3 linked regions of the Danio rerio genome follow. The protein of the gene in region 2 interacts with the protein of the main gene of each other region in a biochemical or structural test. Links are inferred from orthologs where the notes say so. Each region holds a gene or a part of one and is shown on either strand. Other genes may lie near its edges. The genes, in order: tnfaip1, csnk2b and chek1.

Evidence for each region.
Region 1: the proteins of csnk2b (region 2) and tnfaip1 form a complex in vitro, tested with the Homo sapiens proteins (2 studies listed by BioGRID, with this or other methods). The link is inferred for Danio rerio from reciprocal best matches to the Homo sapiens genes CSNK2B and TNFAIP1.
Region 3: of the proteins of csnk2b (region 2) and chek1, one has a biochemical effect on the other in vitro, tested with the Homo sapiens proteins (2 studies listed by BioGRID, with this or other methods). The link is inferred for Danio rerio from reciprocal best matches to the Homo sapiens genes CSNK2B and CHEK1.

Annotation. Positions count from the first base shown.
Region 1 is NC_133190.1:23,033,500-23,037,161, reverse strand, and holds part of tnfaip1 (BTB/POZ domain-containing adapter for CUL3-mediated RhoA degradation protein 2), read right to left. Parts: intron 2,780-3,662; coding exon 2,696-2,779; intron 2,602-2,695; coding exon 2,549-2,601; intron 2,466-2,548; coding exon 2,270-2,465; intron 1-2,269. UniProt on the Homo sapiens protein: Substrate-specific adapter of a BCR (BTB-CUL3-RBX1) E3 ubiquitin-protein ligase complex involved in regulation of cytoskeleton structure.
Region 2 is NC_133194.1:29,149,768-29,154,034, reverse strand, and holds the start of csnk2b (casein kinase II subunit beta), read left to right. Parts: upstream 1-1,455; 5' UTR 1,456-1,491; intron 1,492-2,098; 5' UTR 2,099-2,107; coding exon 2,108-2,179; intron 2,180-4,267. UniProt on the Homo sapiens protein: Regulatory subunit of casein kinase II/CK2.
Region 3 is NC_133196.1:24,023,984-24,026,416, reverse strand, and holds the end of chek1 (serine/threonine-protein kinase Chk1), read right to left. Parts: coding exon 2,411-2,433; intron 2,097-2,410; coding exon 1,965-2,096; intron 1,864-1,964; coding exon 1,762-1,863; intron 1,012-1,761; coding exon 919-1,011; 3' UTR 631-918; downstream 1-630. Other genes in the region: vsig10l2 (V-set and immunoglobulin domain-containing protein 10-like 2), read left to right, coding at 8-108. UniProt on the Homo sapiens protein: Serine/threonine-protein kinase which is required for checkpoint-mediated cell cycle arrest and activation of DNA repair in response to the presence of DNA damage or unreplicated DNA.

The sequences.
Region 1 (3,662 bases), on a different chromosome or scaffold from region 2:
GATCTTAAATAAAACAAATACATGTATAGAGATGGTATAAATGTATATAATTTTACTCACATAGGAAACAGAGACCACGTGAATGGTTTGTGAGCACAATTAAGTGCACAAGGCATCCCATATTATCTGATAATTGTAAGAAATAATTCCAAAAGGAAACTGTGTAAAGCCACATAAAACAACACAAAAATATGATGTTTATGCCGAGTTCAGTGGCTAATCTGCCGGAGTCAGCTGAGGTGAAATGACGGTGAACAGCGAGACCTAGCTGTCACTCAAGTGGCCACGCCCTTAATTATGCAAACTTAATATAGCCTAATATAAAGGAAACGGATTAGTTATAAAAAAATTCAGCCCCCTCACAGTTGTCATGAAGGGCAATATGAGCTATATGAACCAAAATCGTTTCTTGTATGAGGATGTAAACACCTTTTTTTTCTGCTGTGAAGCTGGCCATTGTAACAGTGGGCTCAAATGAAATTTGCTCTATTATGGAGCCAGGACTAGCAGAATTTCGATGAATTGCATTTTCAGTTACTTTTGTATTGGCTTCCCAAGGGAGAGCGTGAGGTTGCCGCTTGGTAAAAAAACAGAATGCTCTTCAACGGTTCCCATTGTAATACAAATTTACAGTCTTCACTCATGTTCATATATTCTAACTTAGGGGTGTCCAAACTCTTTTTTGGAGGGCCGGTGTCCTGCAAAGTTTAGTTCCAACCCCAATCATTCACACATGGACTAGCTAATCAAGCTCTTACTAGGCTTTCCTAGAAATATCTTGCAGGTGTGTTGAGGCAAGCCAGAGCTAAAATCTGCAGGACACTGGCCCTCTAGGACAGAATTTTGACATCTCTGCTCTAACTCATCCATTATAGCTTTATCAATTAATCATAATAATAAATTAATTAAGCCTGCAGTAATTAATAAAAAAAAAGACATTTGACTACAAATGAGATTTTGAAAAAAGAGCCGTTTCATTCTCCTCAAACAGCAGTTCTCCAGCAGTGCTATTGAACAGTGTTTGTTTCAATAGATAAAGTTTTGTGAAAGATTTATTTCTTGTATAAAGTCATTAAAGGCATAGTTCACCCAAAAATGAAGATGTACTCAGTATTTTCTTACCCTCAAGTGATTCCAAACCTTTATGGTTTTTTTTTTATTCTGTTGAACAAAAAAGATTTTTGAAAAGCTGAAAACTGTCAACATTGACTTCTATAGGAAAAACAAATACTATGCAAGTCAATGGTGACAAGTTTCCAACATTTTTCAAAATATCTTCCTTTTTGTTTAACAGAACAAAACTCAAAAGTGTGTAAAACAAAAATGTGCATGTTAAAACTGTTAAATAGTACAAATACAGTACAAGTAATACATGATGACATAGTAAAGCCTATACAAAGCATACACCTGCTCATCAGAAGAGTGGTCAAAACTAGTCAACCAATATGGGTTTTTTTGAAGGTCGATATTAATATTTGTGGAAAGCAGGATAGCAGATATTCAGCTGATATAATTGTACACATTTTAATTAATAACATCTGAATTCAATTGCAATAAAATTTATTTTAAAATATAAGAAAAAAAATTTTAATTAATAAGATCTTATAGCCAATTCTGATTTTGCAAGATTTGGGAAATGAAATGTTGATTAGTTATTCAAATACTTGTTTAAATAATATAAATATATATCAGCTGAATGGCGATGACGTATAAGAATGCATTGTTTTGCCTTTATTACTAATTAAAGCAGCAATACACATGTATACATTATAATTACTTTGTTTAAAAGTTCTTTGTTATCTGATTATTAGACTAAGACAGAACCGAATGACGACAGCAAACAAAAAGGGAGAACATGAACAGTGTGCTCAGGTGCTGCGGATCTCAGCACTTCAAAATAAAAAGTGCTGTGGATGATATGCAAATGTCACCTATGAAATGTATAGCTGAAATATGCATATACAGTTAATGCAAAATGTGGGGTCACAGTTAAGGGGCTAGAGCAGGGGAGGCCAACCCTGTTCCTGGAGAGCCACATTCCTGCAGATTTCAGTTGCAACAAATATCAAACACACCTGCCTGTAATTATCACATGGTGTTCAGGTCGTAATTAATTGGTTCAGGTGTGTTTGATTTGGGTAGCAACTGAAATCTGCAGGAAGGTGGCTCTCCAGGAACAGTGTTGGCCACCCTTGGGTTAGAGTCCCTCGTCTGATCGACAAAAACGCATCCTAATACCAGGTGTAAACAAGGCCAAAGAGTATCTTACCTTTGTTTGCTTCTTCTCAGTAGCATAAACGATGGATGTGCAGCAGACCTCAGCAAGTTTGCGGTGCTGTCCGTAAAAAGACCAGCAGCAAATTTCATCTCCAATTACATCTTTAATGAAGAGCACACGACCGCTGTAGCTCAGAGACAGCTTCTCAAACAGCTCGATATTCTTGAGCAGGTTGTCATCAGAGTTGCTTTTGAGGAAGATTAAGATCCATCAAAAAAAAAAAGGAATCGAGTCTGTCAAAAAGTGACATTAAAGCATAATCATAGTTACCTTGTATAGGAATATTTGTTATTTCCTCGATTGTATAGAAGCTTTACAACAGGCTGTAAGTAGAAAATAATGATGACATTTAGAAATGTAGCTTATCTTGTTTTTTTTTAAAGATTAAATATTTGCATTTTTGCAAAAGAGTCTCACCCTCACACATGCTTGTATCAGTCTCTCCTCCTCTTTAGGAGATGTTATGACCGGGATTACACACAGAGCCTTTTCCTTATTGTCCTGCAAACCAACAAAAATAAAAATACATAAGCAAGCAACCGACAAAGGTTCAATTTTTTCAATAATATGAATTGACAAACTTGTCAGATAATAACAACATGCAACTAGTTTTATAACCAAAACTGACATTTATAGACAAACCCATTGTGGGCTTCAGGATTTTTAAACAATTGTTTTCATTAACAACTTTGTTAAAACAATCATGTTTAATAAAGGAATTCATGGAATAAAACGACACTACTCATGATGATATTCAAAACTATTCCACCAATTAATAAGAAAAGTGTGCAAAAAGTCCTTCATTCTATCAATTGGCATTTTCCATGCTTCATGGGATTCTTTTCTTTGTGAAAGCCACAGAGTATTTTTCTGATTTTCAAATATTCCTTTGATTCACGTCCAAACAGCTGGATGGTTTGATTTATGGTTTAGAGACCCTTCAGCTTTTTTTCTAACAGTCCCCATTTAACGATTAAAATTATCCCCAACTTGGTTTTTAGCAATGCACTCTTAATGCTCCGGTTGCCATAGAAACACACAGTACAAAAAGACTGGCTGGTCCAGTCTCCATTATATTTTTTTTAACACACCAGTTAAGAATAAGCAACTTGTATAGGACATTTCATGGCAGATTCTGCATTATAATATAATTATTTTATTCAAGCATTTAAAATTTCTCTATCAACGGTTAGACTCTGATTTTTTAAATATTTTAACTTTAATGCCTGGAGGTGCAGCACATTTCTGTGCAGAGCAAACAGACAATGACTTTTAAGCAATGAACTAAATTATTTCTTTCTGCTAAATGCATATGATTTATTTCACATATTAAACATTTTGGAAGCAACATCAGACCTGCTTGATCACATTTGCAATGTCTGGC
Region 2 (4,267 bases):
TTGGGTGAGCAGGAATGAGCCGGGGTTGTGACAATAATATTCATTCATTTTTTTTTTGGCTTAGTGCCTTTATTAATCCGGGGCTGTGAAATGAACCACTAACTTATTTAGCAGGTTTTTACGCAGCGGATGCCCTTCAGCCACAATCAATCTCTGGGTAACATCCACACACACACACACTCATACACTACTGACAATTTAGCTTACCCAATTCACCCGTAATGCATGTCTTTGGACTGTGGGGGAAACTGGAGCACCCAGAAGAAACTCACGCAAACGCAGGGAGAACATGCAAACTCCACACAGAAACGCCAACTGACCCAGCCGAGGCTCGAACCAGCGACCTTCTTGCTGTGAGGCGACAGTGCTACCTTCTGCGTCGCTGTGACAATAACAGTGTGGCTCAAAAAGGAATATGGATAAATTATATTATTAGCGTCTGTTTAGTGTGTGTTGTGTGTGTGTAGTATTGCTTTTTGTTTAGTTTGTTCATTTGTGTGTAGTATTAATTTATTAATTAATCTTCAATAATTTTAGACATGGTTTATACTGTATGCTGTACGATAAAGGTATGTAAAATTAACTGAAAAGTATGTTATATGAGGAGTGTTTTTAAACTAAATATCTAAATAATAATAATAAATATATTTTTATTTGGTTTGCACATGTACTTGCTGAAATATTTCAAGGAATAAATTGCAATATTTCAAGAGTAATTAGTTAAATGAATTAAAACCACATTAATATATTTACCAAAAACAAAAGAATAACTTTTTGCTGAATTCATTATTTTTTGTGTGGCACCCCAAGATTTGGTGCAGCCTCTTCTGGCCATCCCTAAGAAAATTTTCTAGGGACACCACTGCCCGGCTGGGTCAGTTGACATTTCTGTGTGGAGTTTGCATGTTCTCCCCGTTTTCGAGTGGGTTTTCTCCGGGTGCTCCGGTTTTCCCACAAGTCAAAAAAAAAAAAAGGATGAAGAATGTGAGTTGAATTAAGCTAAAATTGGCCTTTAATGTACAAGTGTAAATGAGTGTGCATGGATGTTTCCCAGAGTTGGGTAGCAGTTGGAAGGGCATCTGCTGCGTAAAACATATGCTGGATAAGTTGGCGGTTCATTTCGCTGTGGCAAGCCTTGATTAATAAAGGGACTAAAGTTAAGCCAAAAAGACAAATGAATGAATGAATAAAAGTGACATGCCCGCCAGCTACGGATCACGTGTCAGTTACTTTCATTGAAATATCAGTTTTTCTGACCTAAGTAATTGATCGCATCAATAGAATATTACACGAAAACGAATGCAAGGAAACCAAAAAGTGAATATAGAAAAGGAACGACTCTACAACTCAGAAACTACAACTCCTACAAGATCAGCGACGTGAGCGGAAGTGAGGTGACTTGTGATCACGTGATGCACAGCGGAAGCCTCCAATCAGCGTACAGTTGTGTCGCTGCGGCTAACATCGACCCCGGGAGATCCTTGAGGTAACGTCAGTAAACGCTTTTATCGCTATTATGAGCAGGGATGTGAAGTAATTTCGACGTTATGTTAATTAGCATCTATTTATTTTAATTCGCAGTTTATTTCACACATCACGACGCTCCCCGTTTTACATAATTGTGGATCAGTCGGCGAATTTGATGCGGCCTAGTTTGAAGCAGCGGCAAGCTAACCACACCTAGCATTAGCTGAGCACACAAACCAGAAAATCAACACTTATTAAAACTCTTGCCTGGCTGTTAAACATCACAATGTTTTTTCGGCCTTAGATGGAACTATTGTGCATATGTATTTTACTGTATTCGTCATGAGGCTTAAAATGTGACCAGCAGGCTATGCTAGCGTGCGTCAGACCAGTCCAGTCAATTGTTTACGTGAAAACTGTTTAGACTCGATGCAGTTTGTTATAAACATGTACTCATCTTAAACGTATTAGCAACGCAATATAATTTGCTACCCGAGACTTATTAACAGGGCAGTATTAACCTATTTTCAGTAAAATTGTCGTATGTTACTATTAAAGTGACCCTTTCTTGTATTATTAATAGTGACTGCTACTTTTTACAGTGACTAATTGTTAATCTGCTTTTTTTTAGTTTCCCAACATGAGTAGCTCAGAGGAAGTGTCGTGGATTTCTTGGTTTTGTGGTCTACGGGGAAATGAATTCTTCTGTGAGGTTTGTATTGTCATCTTTGTAAGTTATTCTGTTATGTTGTATAATAAGCAGGTGTGTAATAATACACAGTTAAAAAAAATCGGTGTGTGCCTTTTGTTTGAAGACATATACAGGCATATAATGAAGATAGAATTGCAGTTTTGTGGTTTATTGAACATGTTTGATGACCTTTTTTACTGAAAGAACTTGCACATTAATAAAATGTTAAATGGTTCCATTATCCAGCAAAGCCTAGATTATTACATCCAGTTGCTGTATAGTTTGTACAATGTATTCTGCTACGTTTAATAGGCATGGTGCGATAACTGTTTTCAAGTTATACCATGGCTTGGAAAAGTCAAGGTTTTAAAACTTTCAATATTTTCTGCTGTACCGATCCTACGGTATATGTAAGTGGGTTTTTTTTAAGGTTTTTAGGATGGAAGTATCTCCAGCAGAAAAGATATCCAAAGATGCAGTTTTAAATTGTAAAGAAATCAGTGTTTTTGAAACTAAAGGAGTCGACAGAAGTCAATGATTCTTTTGAATTATTCAGCTTGACATGTTTACTGCTCCAAAATACTTAAATGTTACTCAAATTAAAATATATTGTGTTCTACAGGGAAAACAGTTTTAATTTTTTTTTACTCAGACATTTAAAAAGGATATATTTTAGAGCACCATGAATACCATGAAACCGTTGTGTTTTTATCCAAGGTAATCATATCGTCAGAATCTTATACTGGCCCATGCCTAACTTCTAATGCGTTAATAAAAAGAAAAGCTCCTAATTGTGTCAATGTTTAGGCAAAAAAACTATTCTTTCGAGTTTATATCTTAGAAATACACACTAAATTAAGGTAGATGACACATTTACATGCAGTTTTACTGATTAAGCGATTACATATGATGTGAGATGTTATTGAGGTAAAGTTAGTTTTATATTCGCACACTTGTACTTTCATCTTTTCAATATTGATTGGGTATAAACTGCAGTTGAAATCACCGTTCAGGGCTCGAAATTGCGACTGTTTTGGTCGCATATGCGGGCAAAATTTTATCCATGCGACCTCCAAATATATTTAGGAGCATTTGTGTGACTGCATAATATTGGTGCCGTGCGACCGGTTTTCACTGCAAAATGTTCACCACACATGCAGATTTAGGAGTCATTCGCGCAGAATGCATCTTAGCACCTGAGACGCCAAATGCAGCGCTCATGAATAGTTTAAAACAGTTGTTAAGTCAACTTGCTGCCATAAAGCGCACAATGCTTGCCCCACCCTCAAGCTCTTCTGATTGGCCCACTGCTCTAGAACTGAATGCGAACAAATTGGTTAATATCAGCTGTCAATCACTTGGTCGATGGCTTTCTTTAGATGACAGGGAGAGCTACAATCGCGAACATGTAGAGCACTGAAGATGAAAAAAAGAAAACACTGACAGATTTAGTTTTAGAAAACACCTAAAGTTACAAATAAAGACACGTCTGATTAGTGGTCATGTGGTTAATGTCAATCCAGCGTTTACTCTTTTCCAAGAGTGGATAAAAGACTTCCAGTGTTAAAAGTTCGCTATGAAAATGACTAAATCGTTAGGATGCTGTCAGCTGTGCAGGTGGCGCTATATGTAAAATGTAACACCACGAACACCATCGCAAAGTGGCTTGCATTTATCGACATACAACTTATATTGCAGCTAATATAATTGCAGTAAATCGCTTAATATAACATTAAAACTTGTAGTAACAGTGCTTATAATTGGTGGGTGCGACTAAATTTTTGCTTTTTAAAGTCGGGAGCACCAGTGCTACCATGCAAAATGTTTAATTTCGAGCCCTGCCAGTAGACATGAGCATCACCTTTGTGCTGATTCTGAAACGATGTTGTAGGAATGAATTTTCAGTGCTTCCCATGCATAGGCTTTACTTGGGCAGGCTGCCCAGGTATATCAAGCGTCCGCTCAAGTATATTTAGTGACACTTTTTTTTTTTTTAACTATTATTATTATTATCATCATCATCATCTTCCTTTTACACTTTTTTTGTATCCGCCCAATATCAACAAACATCCGCAAGCGATTAAGTAGTGGAAAATCTCTCCTTGACCC
Region 3 (2,433 bases), on a different chromosome or scaffold from region 2:
CTTTCAGCGGCATCAATGGCACTGCCAAGGCCAACAGCAACACCTACGAACCTTCCCCCAGGCAAAGAGCCAGTCAACGTAACTATAACTGTCATGGCCTCCAGCTAAATACGAGGCTAATAATATTCACGTTTCTATCATAAATGTACTACAGGAGAATACACTCTGAGGATCAAGAACACATTTTCATCATCAATAGAAGAAAACTATAAAAGAAAGAAAAATCATTTTGTGTTTTACATTTTGTGAATATAATTTTATACTAAGATCAGTTTAAGTGTTTACTAACAAGTGTCTACCATTTAAGTAACAGCGTCTGATTAACTACAAGCACATTTTGTCAATTTACAGCTGGATTGCTGCTATATTTTTTGCTACACTGTTTAAGAAGGTAGTCAGCAATCCTACATACAAGCAAAAGGGATTTTATTTGCATCAAAATCAAATGTGTTAAGGCAAACCGATTGTTTAAGCTAGTGATAATTTGGTATTTTTAAAGCATTGTAAGCAAAAGGCACTATTTTCTGAACTCAGTGTTTTAATAAAACAAAAGCTGAACAGGACTGGAAGTTAATGTGATGTTTCATACAGATCATACTTTTTATAATTTAAAACCGAAGCCAAACAGAGTTATTAAAAGTGGATTTATTTTCCATTTTTTGTGATGTTCTGAACCCTACAATCTATTTAGGAGGTAGAAAACTAAAACCCTCTTTGTCACAGTAACGAAACATGAACAGACAAACTATACCTGACAATTTCTCTTCATTCCTTCACTCGTGGATCAACAAAACAGACATATACAACTTCAGACAAACAGATCACAACACATACCACAAACATATAACAATTTAGTGTGTGTGTGTGTGTGTGTGCTCATGTGAAGGCAGGCTTTGCATGGTAAAATGTGTATATGCATCAAATCAATGGCAAAACCTTTTGGTTGCTAATAATGTCAGACAGCTTCTGTTTGAGTTTCAGGAATATTCGCTTGAATTCCAAACCGTCACCCTAGAATACAAAAAAACAGAGCTTTAATCAAATCAGTTACATTATTTATAATTTTAAAATGCTATGGTTATTGTTTGCATTTCAATAATCTGATTATTTTAGTTGTGTTGATTAACAAGTCAGTAGCTATGTGTCCATCAAAAGATGCTAAGTAAATTGATGCACAAAACTAAAATCGTCACTTCCTGATTAACTGCCGCCAAATATCAAAAGTAAAAACAGAACTTGCAGCGGTTGGAGAAGCTGTTTTAATAAATTTGTTTATTTAATAAATTACTTGTGTCTCAGAAGACAAATAATGATATGCAATGAATGTGTGGTGGCATTTAAAGGCATGAGATGCGGAGCACACATGCTCTGGACAATTCTGGAGGTCATTGATAATATAATAACACTAATACTAAAATGGTTACAGCATTTTAGATGTTTTACAGTGCTCAGCCTGCTGGTTTGTTCATTCACATTCACCACATGATCTCTTAAAACAAAAACACATGACCTTTTTAATACGCATACTGGAATTTGTTTGGTAAAAGTGTTATATCAAAGTTTATGCGCATCTTTTCTTATTGGAAAAAAAAGTTTATCCTACTCAGTTATGCGCATGTTTTTTATGCATATTTTCAAATTTGTGCGCATCATGGCGTTTCCATCAACCGTTTTATGCGCATATCCAAAATGCGCATAAAAATAGGTGGATTTAAATGTAGCTAGTGACAGCATAAAAGTAATTAATAATTTATAGCTCACCTTTGACAGCCGGAAATCAACTAAAATACGTTCCTCCATTTCCAGGAAGTGCACTATGAATATCAGCTTATTATTGCGACGATCCATTGTAGACACTGTCGCCTATTAATAAAGGGGATGTAAACAAGATCAGTTCATTATATGGTTTGAGATCTGTCTTTGATTATTTAAAATGCTAAATATGTTACATATTATCTGGTTACCTGATTATTACAGCTCTGTTTCCATGTGTGACCCAAAGCAATACAAGAATCACGGAGAGCAATGCAAGATGCCTCTGTATTTTCTGTAGTAAAGAACCTGGTCATTCTCCTCACCAAACGCTGCCAGGGGCTCTGAAAAAAATAACCATAATAAATCATTAATCACATTGAGCCAAATTAGATGTGACATTCCATTACCATGGAATAAAACCATTTTAACCAAGGCAAAACCAAAACTAAATATGAACATTCAGCCTATTTTAATTGTCATTATTTGTTCTGTTCTGAATACTGTGAAATTTAAAAGATTCATTGTGGAGCCTATTTTCCTGAATAAAACTACAAATCGCAACAAATCTAAATATTAACTATGCAATTTAGAGCAGATGTAACTTTTTTTCTGAAAAATACTGTATAATTATTATTAACTGTATTGAAATTGTTACCTGGCTTGCACCCGGTGTGCCAA